2 linked regions of the Canis lupus familiaris genome follow. The protein of the gene in region 1 purifies or fractionates together with the protein of each later gene. This does not show direct contact. Links are inferred from orthologs where the notes say so. Each region holds a gene or a part of one and is shown on either strand. Other genes may lie near its edges.

Evidence for each region.
Region 2: the proteins of CKS2 (region 1) and CCNA2 purify together in Homo sapiens (affinity purification with mass spectrometry; 3 studies listed by BioGRID and IntAct, counting the BioPlex papers as one, with this or other methods). This does not show direct contact. The link is inferred for Canis lupus familiaris from reciprocal best matches to the Homo sapiens genes CKS2 and CCNA2.

Annotation. Positions count from the first base shown.
Region 1 is NC_049222.1:97,648,486-97,652,842, reverse strand, and holds the start of CKS2 (cyclin-dependent kinases regulatory subunit 2), read left to right. Parts: upstream 1-1,551; 5' UTR 1,552-1,961; intron 1,962-2,319; exon of another isoform or gene 2,320-2,492; 5' UTR 2,493-2,769; coding exon 2,770-2,828; exon of another isoform or gene 2,829-2,911; intron 2,912-4,357. UniProt on the Homo sapiens protein: Binds to the catalytic subunit of the cyclin dependent kinases and is essential for their biological function.
Region 2 is NC_049240.1:19,143,131-19,147,597, reverse strand, and holds the start of CCNA2 (cyclin-A2), read right to left. Parts: upstream 2,959-4,467; 5' UTR 2,674-2,958; coding exon 2,461-2,673; intron 1,685-2,460; coding exon 1,441-1,684; intron 1-1,440. UniProt on the Homo sapiens protein: Cyclin which controls both the G1/S and the G2/M transition phases of the cell cycle. Functions through the formation of specific serine/threonine protein kinase holoenzyme complexes with the cyclin-dependent protein kinases CDK1 or CDK2.

The sequences.
Region 1 (4,357 bases):
ATCAAGAGGATGGTGGGGAGTTCAAACTTGAGCTTTGTGGTGTGTGCGTTCATTGTGAATTAGTTCCTAAGCTTGTACCCATATCAGAACAAAAAGAGACTTGTATTTTTTTTAAGATTTTATTTTATTCACGAGAGACAGAGGGAGGCAGAGACACAGGCAGAGGGAGAAGCAGGCTCCTTGTGGGGAGCCCGATGTGGGACTCAATCCCAGGACCCTGGGATCATGACCAGAGCCAAATGCAGATGCTCAACCGCTGAGCCACCCAGGTGTCCCAAGTCTTGTATTTTAAATCACACACTTCGTCGTACTTCTTACACATGGAATGGCTGTCTAAAATCTCTTCCATTGACACAGTGAATAGATGCTTTTCATACAATATGCACATTCAGAATTTCAACTTGTTTGGAGCAGACACTGTTGGTCAAGGAGGGCTTTGCAGCTCCACTGCTTTTATCCACCTTGCCTTCTTCATGCGATAATGTGGAGGCTCAGAAGGGACAATGAAGAAATGCTTATGCCACATTGTAGTGCCTCCCAGGCAGGCACTGTCATCACTGGAGCAGCAGAATCAGTGCCGTCCCCAGGGAGGAAGCCTCTCCAAGCACGCTGCTGGGCTCCGTGACTGGATGTGGACCACACGGGGCTACTTTTACCATTAGCCTGTCAGTGGGCTGCTGCCAGGATAGGGCGCCTGCTCTCATCCTATCAAGTGCCATGTCTTTCTCACTGAGCCCCTCTGCCACATCTCGCCTGACCGGCCCCACACTCATCAAAATGACCACATTTAATAGGAAGAAGTCTGGAATCCCTTCCTAGTCTGGCCCAATTTACCACTCGTTTCCAGCTGCTGGGTCGTGTTTTGTTTGCTTTTTACACATCACAACAGACTCAGTGCCTTAAAACAACACAAATTTATTATCTGACAGTTCTAGAGGTCAGAAGTAACTTGGTCACATCTGCCAAGTCCAGGCAACACATCTCCAGGTTCCAGGGATCAGGACATGGACATCTCTGGGGGCTGTTTTGAGGTCTGTGACATCCATCCTCCCGGATTCATTTCCCACAACGCTCCTTCCCGTGTCCTGTGCACTCTGTCCCCGGCATATGCCATATTGTTAAGATAAGCGACAGCACACAGTAGCAGTTAAGGGGCCTAACTGCGGACTCAGACTGTTGGGGCTCGAGTCTGCAGCCCGCCACTTGCTAAATGGATCTGGACAAATAGCTGTTGCTGTGGTTTTAACCTAGATTACAAGGAAAAGTAAATTAGACCACAAGGAGCCAGTATTCCACAGACGCCGATGGCCTGGTGTTTTGGATGAATCCCTATTATAAAGGGTGGTGTGTGCGTGGGTGGGGAGGGCATCGCTTAAAAGAGTAAAAGAGACAATAACCGAACCGGACGCGTAGGCCCACGTTTGGATGTGGGTTCACCAGCCGCCGCGAGGCCCTGCGAGGCCGGGTGACCTGAACGCAGGCGCGAGCGGGGGGCCGCGAGGGGCTGAGGGCTGAGGCGCAAGCGCGGCTCGGAGCTGAGCACTTTTAAAGTTCTTCTGGAGACGCACTCCGTGAACGCGGAGGCCTGCACAAGCGCCCTTTCAAAGCGGGAGGACCCCGTATCCGGGATCTCTTCGGACGTGGGGTGTGCAGGAGGAAGCGAGACGGCCACAGCGGGAGCTGCGGAAGCCGGTGACCGGCACCGGGAGCTGACGCTACCCGACTCGTCCGCCTGAAGCTTTCAACACCGCTCCGCAGAACACATCCCGGAAGCTCTTCTTTCCCGGGCTCTGCCACAAAGCCCGTGGTGCCCCTCCCCACCTCCCGGAACAATCGCCCACATCTTCGCCCTCGGCACATCCTGCCCTGGACCTGGACCTGGACCGGGCGGGGGCGGGGGCGGGGGCGGCAGGCTCGGAGCCCGGGCGGCGCGGGGAGCCGGTCCCGCCCCCCGGCAGCAGGTAGGTGGCCCGCCCCGAGGCACCTGTGCCTGCGGGGACCCCCCTCCCCCGCCCCGCCCCGCCCTAAAGGCCCCCAGTTCCTGCACGTGGCTCCCGCCCGCCGCCTGCGGGGCGCCTCGGACCCGCACCCACGGGCCGCCCGCTCCGCTCGACTTGGCTCCCGACCGCGCCGCCCAAGGTCTTCCTTCCCACGCCCGCCCACCTGCCGCGGCCGCCGCTACCTCCCGCACCCCGAGGCCAGGCCCCGCGGCGGAGAGCACCCCCTCCCTCCCCCTCGACACCGAGACTGCGCCTGCGCGGAGACGGCCGCACGTCGTGCAGCCCCGCCCGCACCTCGCCAAACCCCGCGATACTTCACCTTTCCCTCAGGTCCGCCCTCCCCAACGGCCTGGCTGACCTGGAACGTTCTAAACCCCTGCGCACGCGCTCTGAGGCCCTTAACGTCCGGGCTCCGCCCTCCCCTGGCCACGCCCCTTCCCGTCTGGGAGCTACCCGTCGCCACGCCTTGCCAATCATCCACTTCTTCCCCAGGGCGACCCCGCAACAGGTCTCTGATTGGCTGGTCGGGGGAGACAACGCCGAGGAGGGTCGGTGACGATAGGCTGGGAGCCGGTTCCGCCTACTGGCAGTTTGCGTGGAAGGTGATTGGCTGGCGCCTCCGTCCAATCAGCGGTGGGCTGTCGGATTCAAACCGGGATCGTTGGGCCTGCGGTCGGTTGGTCGCAGTCGAGTCGTTGCTTCGGCCTGACGCGGACGTGTGGCCCGCTGCGCCCGCTCTTCGCGCCCCGTCGCTCCCGCCGCCCGCACGATGGCCCACAAGCAGATCTACTACTCGGACAAGTACTTCGACGAGCACTACGAGTACCGGTGAGCACTACGAGAACCGGCCTCGGCCGCGAGGCTGGGCGGAACCGGAACCGGGGTCGGCGTCGGCGTCGGCGTCGGGGTCGCAGCGCGCCGGCGGGGGTTCGGGTCGGGCCCGAGGGCGGCGGGCGGCGGGGCACCAGGGCCCCGGGGCGTGCGGACCGGCGTCCCCGCGTCCCCCGCCCTTTGTTCGCGGTGGCCGGGCGGGGCCGGGGCTGTGGGGCCCGCTCCCTCCCTCTCCGCTGCGCCCTGGGGGGCTGCCGCGGCGTCGGAGCGCGGCCCGGCGGCTGGGGGTAGGCGCGGCTGGACCCGGCGCCGGCCCCTGGGGGGGAGACGGGCGGGGCGGGGTGGGACTGGGTGGGGCGGGGCGGGGCCGGGGGAGGCGGGGGGCACGCTGCGGGCGGGGGCGGGGGCGGGGGCGGGGCCGTGCCGTGGAGCCCCGGGCCAGGCTGCGCGGAGGGTCCGGGCGGAGAGCGGCCCCTCGGGGAGTGTTCCCGGAAGCGTGGCATGACCCGGGCCGGATTTCCGGTCTCCGAGACCGGGTCCCCGCGCGGGGTCTCGGGACAGGAGCGTCGGCCTGAGGCCCGCGGCCCTCGGGGGAGCGTGTGTCCTGAGTTGCCCCGGGCGCGCCCGTCACGTGGACACCGTCCCCGGCGTAGTTGGGGAGCGGCGGCCCCGCGGAGGGAACAGGGGGGCTGAGGGTGTGCTGCCGGCGGACAGCGACGTGGAAGGCAGAAATGAGGCCGTTCACGGGGCATCTCAAGGAAACGTGCACAACACGTAACCACCAGTCAGGCTTTGCGTCAGAGGATGACGTCAGTAATTAGTGTTGGGGGGTCGGGTGTTACGTATAGGTTTTCAACTGTTTGAGGGGTCAGGGCCCCCAACCCCGTGGTGGTCAAGGGTCAACTGTAGTTCACTGGAATTGGTAGAAATAGCATAATTCGATTTGGAGGTCTCAGGGCAGATTTAAAAACATGGTGGTAGTTCCAAGGCTCACTGCTTCTGTGAATAATACGTACGGGTATGTAGTTCACTCGTCACCGAGAATGTAAGCTGATGACCGTCTCAGTGTTTATGTGTAAGGAGTTCAGTTTTCTGACAGAAAATGTGACTGACCAGATTCCCCTTCTCTCCCCCCCCCCCCCCCCCCAGCCAACTGACCCACAGCTAGATATTTCATACTGGTCAAAAATTTTGGTTAGTGTCGAGAACTCCATAACTTCATATTGCCACTGGGAATAGTAAAACTGGGTTTGGGAATTGTGATTGATAAAGGCCTTTTTACTGCAATTAAGAGGGATGCAGACTTGTCTTTCAGAATTTACGAAGTTATAGTTGTACACGTACAATGTATACGTACATTGAAAAGAACATCTTTTCCTTAAAATAACAAAGTTTTGGACATAAGTCGTTTGGATAGAAGTCAGTAACTTCTGAAAAAAGTCTTTGGGGATGCCTGGATGGCTCAGCGGTTTTGCCCCCCGCCTTCCGCCCAGGGCGTGATCCTGGAGTCCCAGGATCCAGTCCTA
Region 2 (4,467 bases), on another chromosome or scaffold:
GGATATAAAAGTATGATTAAGTTCATAGTTTAATTTTCTAATTAACAGTCAAACTGATTGGCTTTGTAAGGCATCCCATTCAAAAGCATTTATTTCATCCAATTAAAAAGGGCTTCTCATGGCAAAGAAACAATATTTCACTCTGGTTTTAGTACCTCAGTCCACTTTTTTTTTAAGTATGTATTTATTCATGAGAGACAGAGAGAGGCAGAGACACAGGCAGAGGAAGAAGCAGGCTCCATGCAGGGAGCCTGACGCGCGACTCGATCCCGGGACTCCAGGATCACACCCTGGGCCCAAGGCTGGCGCTAAACCGCTGAGCCACCCAGGGATCCCCAGTCCACTTGGTTTTAATCAACAAGAGAAAATACTGCTAGGCCACTAAAAGAGTGTGCTTGAAAATGTATTATTATGTTTAAGTATCAATCATATTCCATGAGAGAAGAGCAAATGGCACAGTGATTCTGCAAAGACAGTTAAAATCCAAGTTTTGTGGTATTATGTAGTATTTACCTTAAGAGTGCTGACCCCAAAGTCTGACATATTCAAAGAACAATGTAGCAATAACTAAAAGCAGGGTTAATGTTAATTAAAATTAGGTTTGTTATGAGCAATTCAAACAAATTAACACTATAATCACCAAATGTTTCATGTTTTGTAATTTTAAATTACTTTTTGAGGCAAAGAATATCATTCATTACTCTTTTCAAGTTTCATTGTAAGGTTAAAGTTTGTTATAAATTTTCAAGAAAAATACAAAAATTACTTTATTTCCAAAGGATTTTCCTGCTATTCCCAGACCACTTCTCAGAACTAAAACCTAAATGAGATGAAACGAATGAATTATCCAGTGACTCAACAGACCTATCTATGTATGGTAAAGAAGTTGCACGCATAAACTGTTGGCAGAGCTTGCTTTATAGCAGCTACTTCATTTTATATGTGGTTAGCTGCAGTCATGATTCAACTCTTGCCTCACAGGAGGACAGTGTCCCTCTCTGGTATCAGACTGGATTTACAGAAAATTTTAAGCTGTAAGAGATGTTAGATATCACAATATTGAAAGCTGTATCCTATTCAAATACTCTCGTAAGTGGTATGTACACAGTGAGTTTATGAATACGGTTCAAATCTATTCTCCCAAGCAGGCAAATATTTCCAGGGTCAGATTAAAATAAGGGTTTGAGATCTAATTAAATTGATGTGATTGGCAGTAATATGGGAAGGAAGGAGCACCCAGTTAGGATTTATAGGTCACTAGGTCAATGTATGAGCTGTGAGATCGGAGATGAATCATACCCTTTCTAAACTTTGTTACATTACACCAAATTCATTATATAGTAAGGGTCAGGTAAAATAATGTCTTAAAATGAAACTATCATTAATCCATAATCACTTTAGGATTACATTGATTTGATACAGATGTTCTTTAAAACTTACCAAAACTACCATCCATTGGATAATCAAGAGGTACCAGCGGTTTTCTTGGTCCAGGTAGAGTAATAGCTGAATTAAAAGCCAGGACATTTTCATGTTCTGTTTTTTTAGATTCAGCTGGCCTCTTCTGAGTCTCTTCTTCTGTTTCATCCACATGAATGGTAAATGCAGGCTGTTTACTGTTTGCTTTCCAGGGAGGAATAGTGACTTGTTCATCATTTATAGGAAGATCCTTAAGAGGTGCAACCTAAAAAGAAATGAATAGCTAGCTTTGAGCCTATTAAATGGAGTTCTGCTTGCTTTCTTCCCCTTACGGTTCTCAGTTTCTGTTTTCACTCCCAAATACTCTAAGGAAATTAAACTATCTGGGACAAAATCCAGGCAGTAAAGTTTGAATAGCTGAAGAAAGGGATGTTCAAGTTCGTTAGCGGCATTTCTACATAAGTTATAGAATCACACTAAATGCATTTATGCAAAACTAATCAAGGCCACAAGAGGAGTGGGGTAGCAGGCTGAATGATGACAAGTTTAGGAGAGCCGGCAAAGAGGTGTTGGTTCACCGCTTTGGCCCCAGGGTGGAGCAACAGAGCAAATCCGGTAAAATGGCGGAATTTAGTAAAAAAAAATTATTTTTTATACTCTTTCCTAAAGTAAAGGTAATCTTAACCAAATGGCGAGCAGGAAGGGGGTCCAGATCCTAGGGCAGTGCCTGGGGTTTAAAGCGGCGAAGAAAGCGCGGACATACGTCGTGGTGCTCGGTCTGACCCTCATATTCTATCGGAAAATATACCAAATAAAGAGCAGACAGGGAGCAAAACACACAGCGCTGGCGAAGAGAGCTATGGGAAAGATTTACGTGGCATCCCCCGCGCCAGAACACTAGGCATCAAGGGGACTGCAGACCCAGGCCTCCCTTACAACAGCTCGGAAGATGCTTTCTCGCCACGCTCCCCGGCCTGCTCAAACCTCGTGCAAAACTCCCGCTCGGCCCTCCTCGCCTGCAGATATCGTTCATCTCTTTACCCGCCGTGTCTTGGGCCTCTGCTGCGGCGCTGGGACGCGCTGGTTCCCGGCCTTCAGGACCGCCAACCCGGCCCGGGTCCGGGGCTGCTGGGCGGGCGCCGCCTTCTCGGGGTTGATGTTCTCCTGGTCCTCTTGGAGCGCCGTATGCTGCAACGTTAGCAGCGACGAGCCCGCCTCGCGGGCCTCAGGCCCAGGCTCCGAGCTGCCCAACATCACTGCTCCCCGGGTCGCGGCGGGATCAGCCTGCGGCGCCAAGCAGCGTGTACTGCGTCCCGCCGACCCCGCCGAGAAACGCTCCAGCCGCAGCCGCCCGCGGCAGTCCGGGCCAGCCTGCTCGCTCGGGATCGCGCAGCTCCGAGGACGTTGCGAAAGGCTCAGGCAGGAACTGCCGGGCGTGGAGGGCTCAAGACGCCCCCGAGATGTAGCGAGCAGCCCGCCGGAGCGGCGGCTGTTCGTGCAGTTCAAGTATCCCGCGACTATTGAAATGGGCCAATGGGAAGGGCCGATGCCCCTGACGTCACTCAAGGCGACACGGTCGCAGACAAATGAAGGAAGCCGTGAAGGCCACGGAGCGGGGGCGGAGAAACGCCGAAAGGCGGCGGGAGGGAAAACGCCTGCGCCGGCCAAAGAGGCGGGGCCTGAACTTCTAGTGACTAAACTGGGCCACTTGGTGACCCGAGGGTGCTGGGCCGCGGCTGTCTCTAGGACCGACGGAGTCAAACCCCAGCAATTGTTAGTGGCCGCGCCTGCCTAACGCTGGCCGTGGGGCCCTCAGTTGGCTGGACTGACTGGTCTCCCAAGCTCGGATCCGACCCAGCCGCGAACCGGCCTGGTAGGCGGGCCCCGTGATGACACGTCTCTGATTCTCAGTGTTCTCATCTATTAATTGGGGGTAAAATGCTACATGTCGTATGGCTGTTGTGATTATGTAATGTGCGTAAATCATTAACATGCTTGCTTACTGATCCTCGAGTGTGGACTGTACTGTCATGTATCATTTAGGGGTTTCTTCAGTCATGCTTCCGAATTCACCTCATGAAGATGTGATTAGGTAGGTGCTACCTTAACTACTGTTGATACATATATATAAACAAATAGTAATGTACTGGAAGAAACTCAACTAGACAGTCACTAATTTTGATGCTTTTCCCAGCTGTGCCAGCCAACAAAAAGCACCCAGTGAAATTTCTAGTGACATAGATACAGAATTTTGTTCCATTTGGCAATGAAGGCTGTTTAAATAAAAACAACATGACCTTTTAAAATAAAACTCTCAGTGATATGTGCCTTTAACAAGTTCTCAGATTTAATAAACAAGGCTTGCATATATTAATATAATGGTAAAGAATTAAGAGACCTTGTTTTCTGACAAATTCATGAGGATGCCCTTCTTAAAAACATGATTATATAATCTTTACGCCATTTTAAAACAATCTTCAAACACAATATTCTCCTGAGTATGAAGAAACATGAATTAACATTAGTGAATAAAACTTCTGTAGCTTTAAAGTCTTATTTCCCTCTCTACATGATAAAACAAGTCAGTGGACACTAGTGCAGGAAAATCTAAGAGGCCATCACTATTTCTGCACTATTCACATGTAGTAGCCTTGTACAGTTCTACTGGTTATAGGACAGCAAGTGAAGATCCCTTCAATCTGTGCAGCTCTGCTCATTTCCCTGGCCAAAATTTATAGCACTGAGCATACTCAAGCTCACAAACTGAGCACGGGTCACAAAACATTACCTAGCAAGAGTGAAATCAGTTGCAAATTGGGGGATCCCTGGGTGGTTCAGTGGTTTAGCGCTGCCTTCCGGCCCAGAGTGTGATCCTGGAGACCAGGGATCCAGTCGCACATCAGGCTCCCTGCATGGAGCCTGCTTCTCCCTCTGCCTCTGCCTCTGCCTCTGCCTCTGCCTCTGTGTGTGTGTGTGTGTGTGTGTGTCTCATGAATAAATAAATAAAATCTTAAAAAAAAAAAAAGAAATCAGTTGCAAATCAATCTC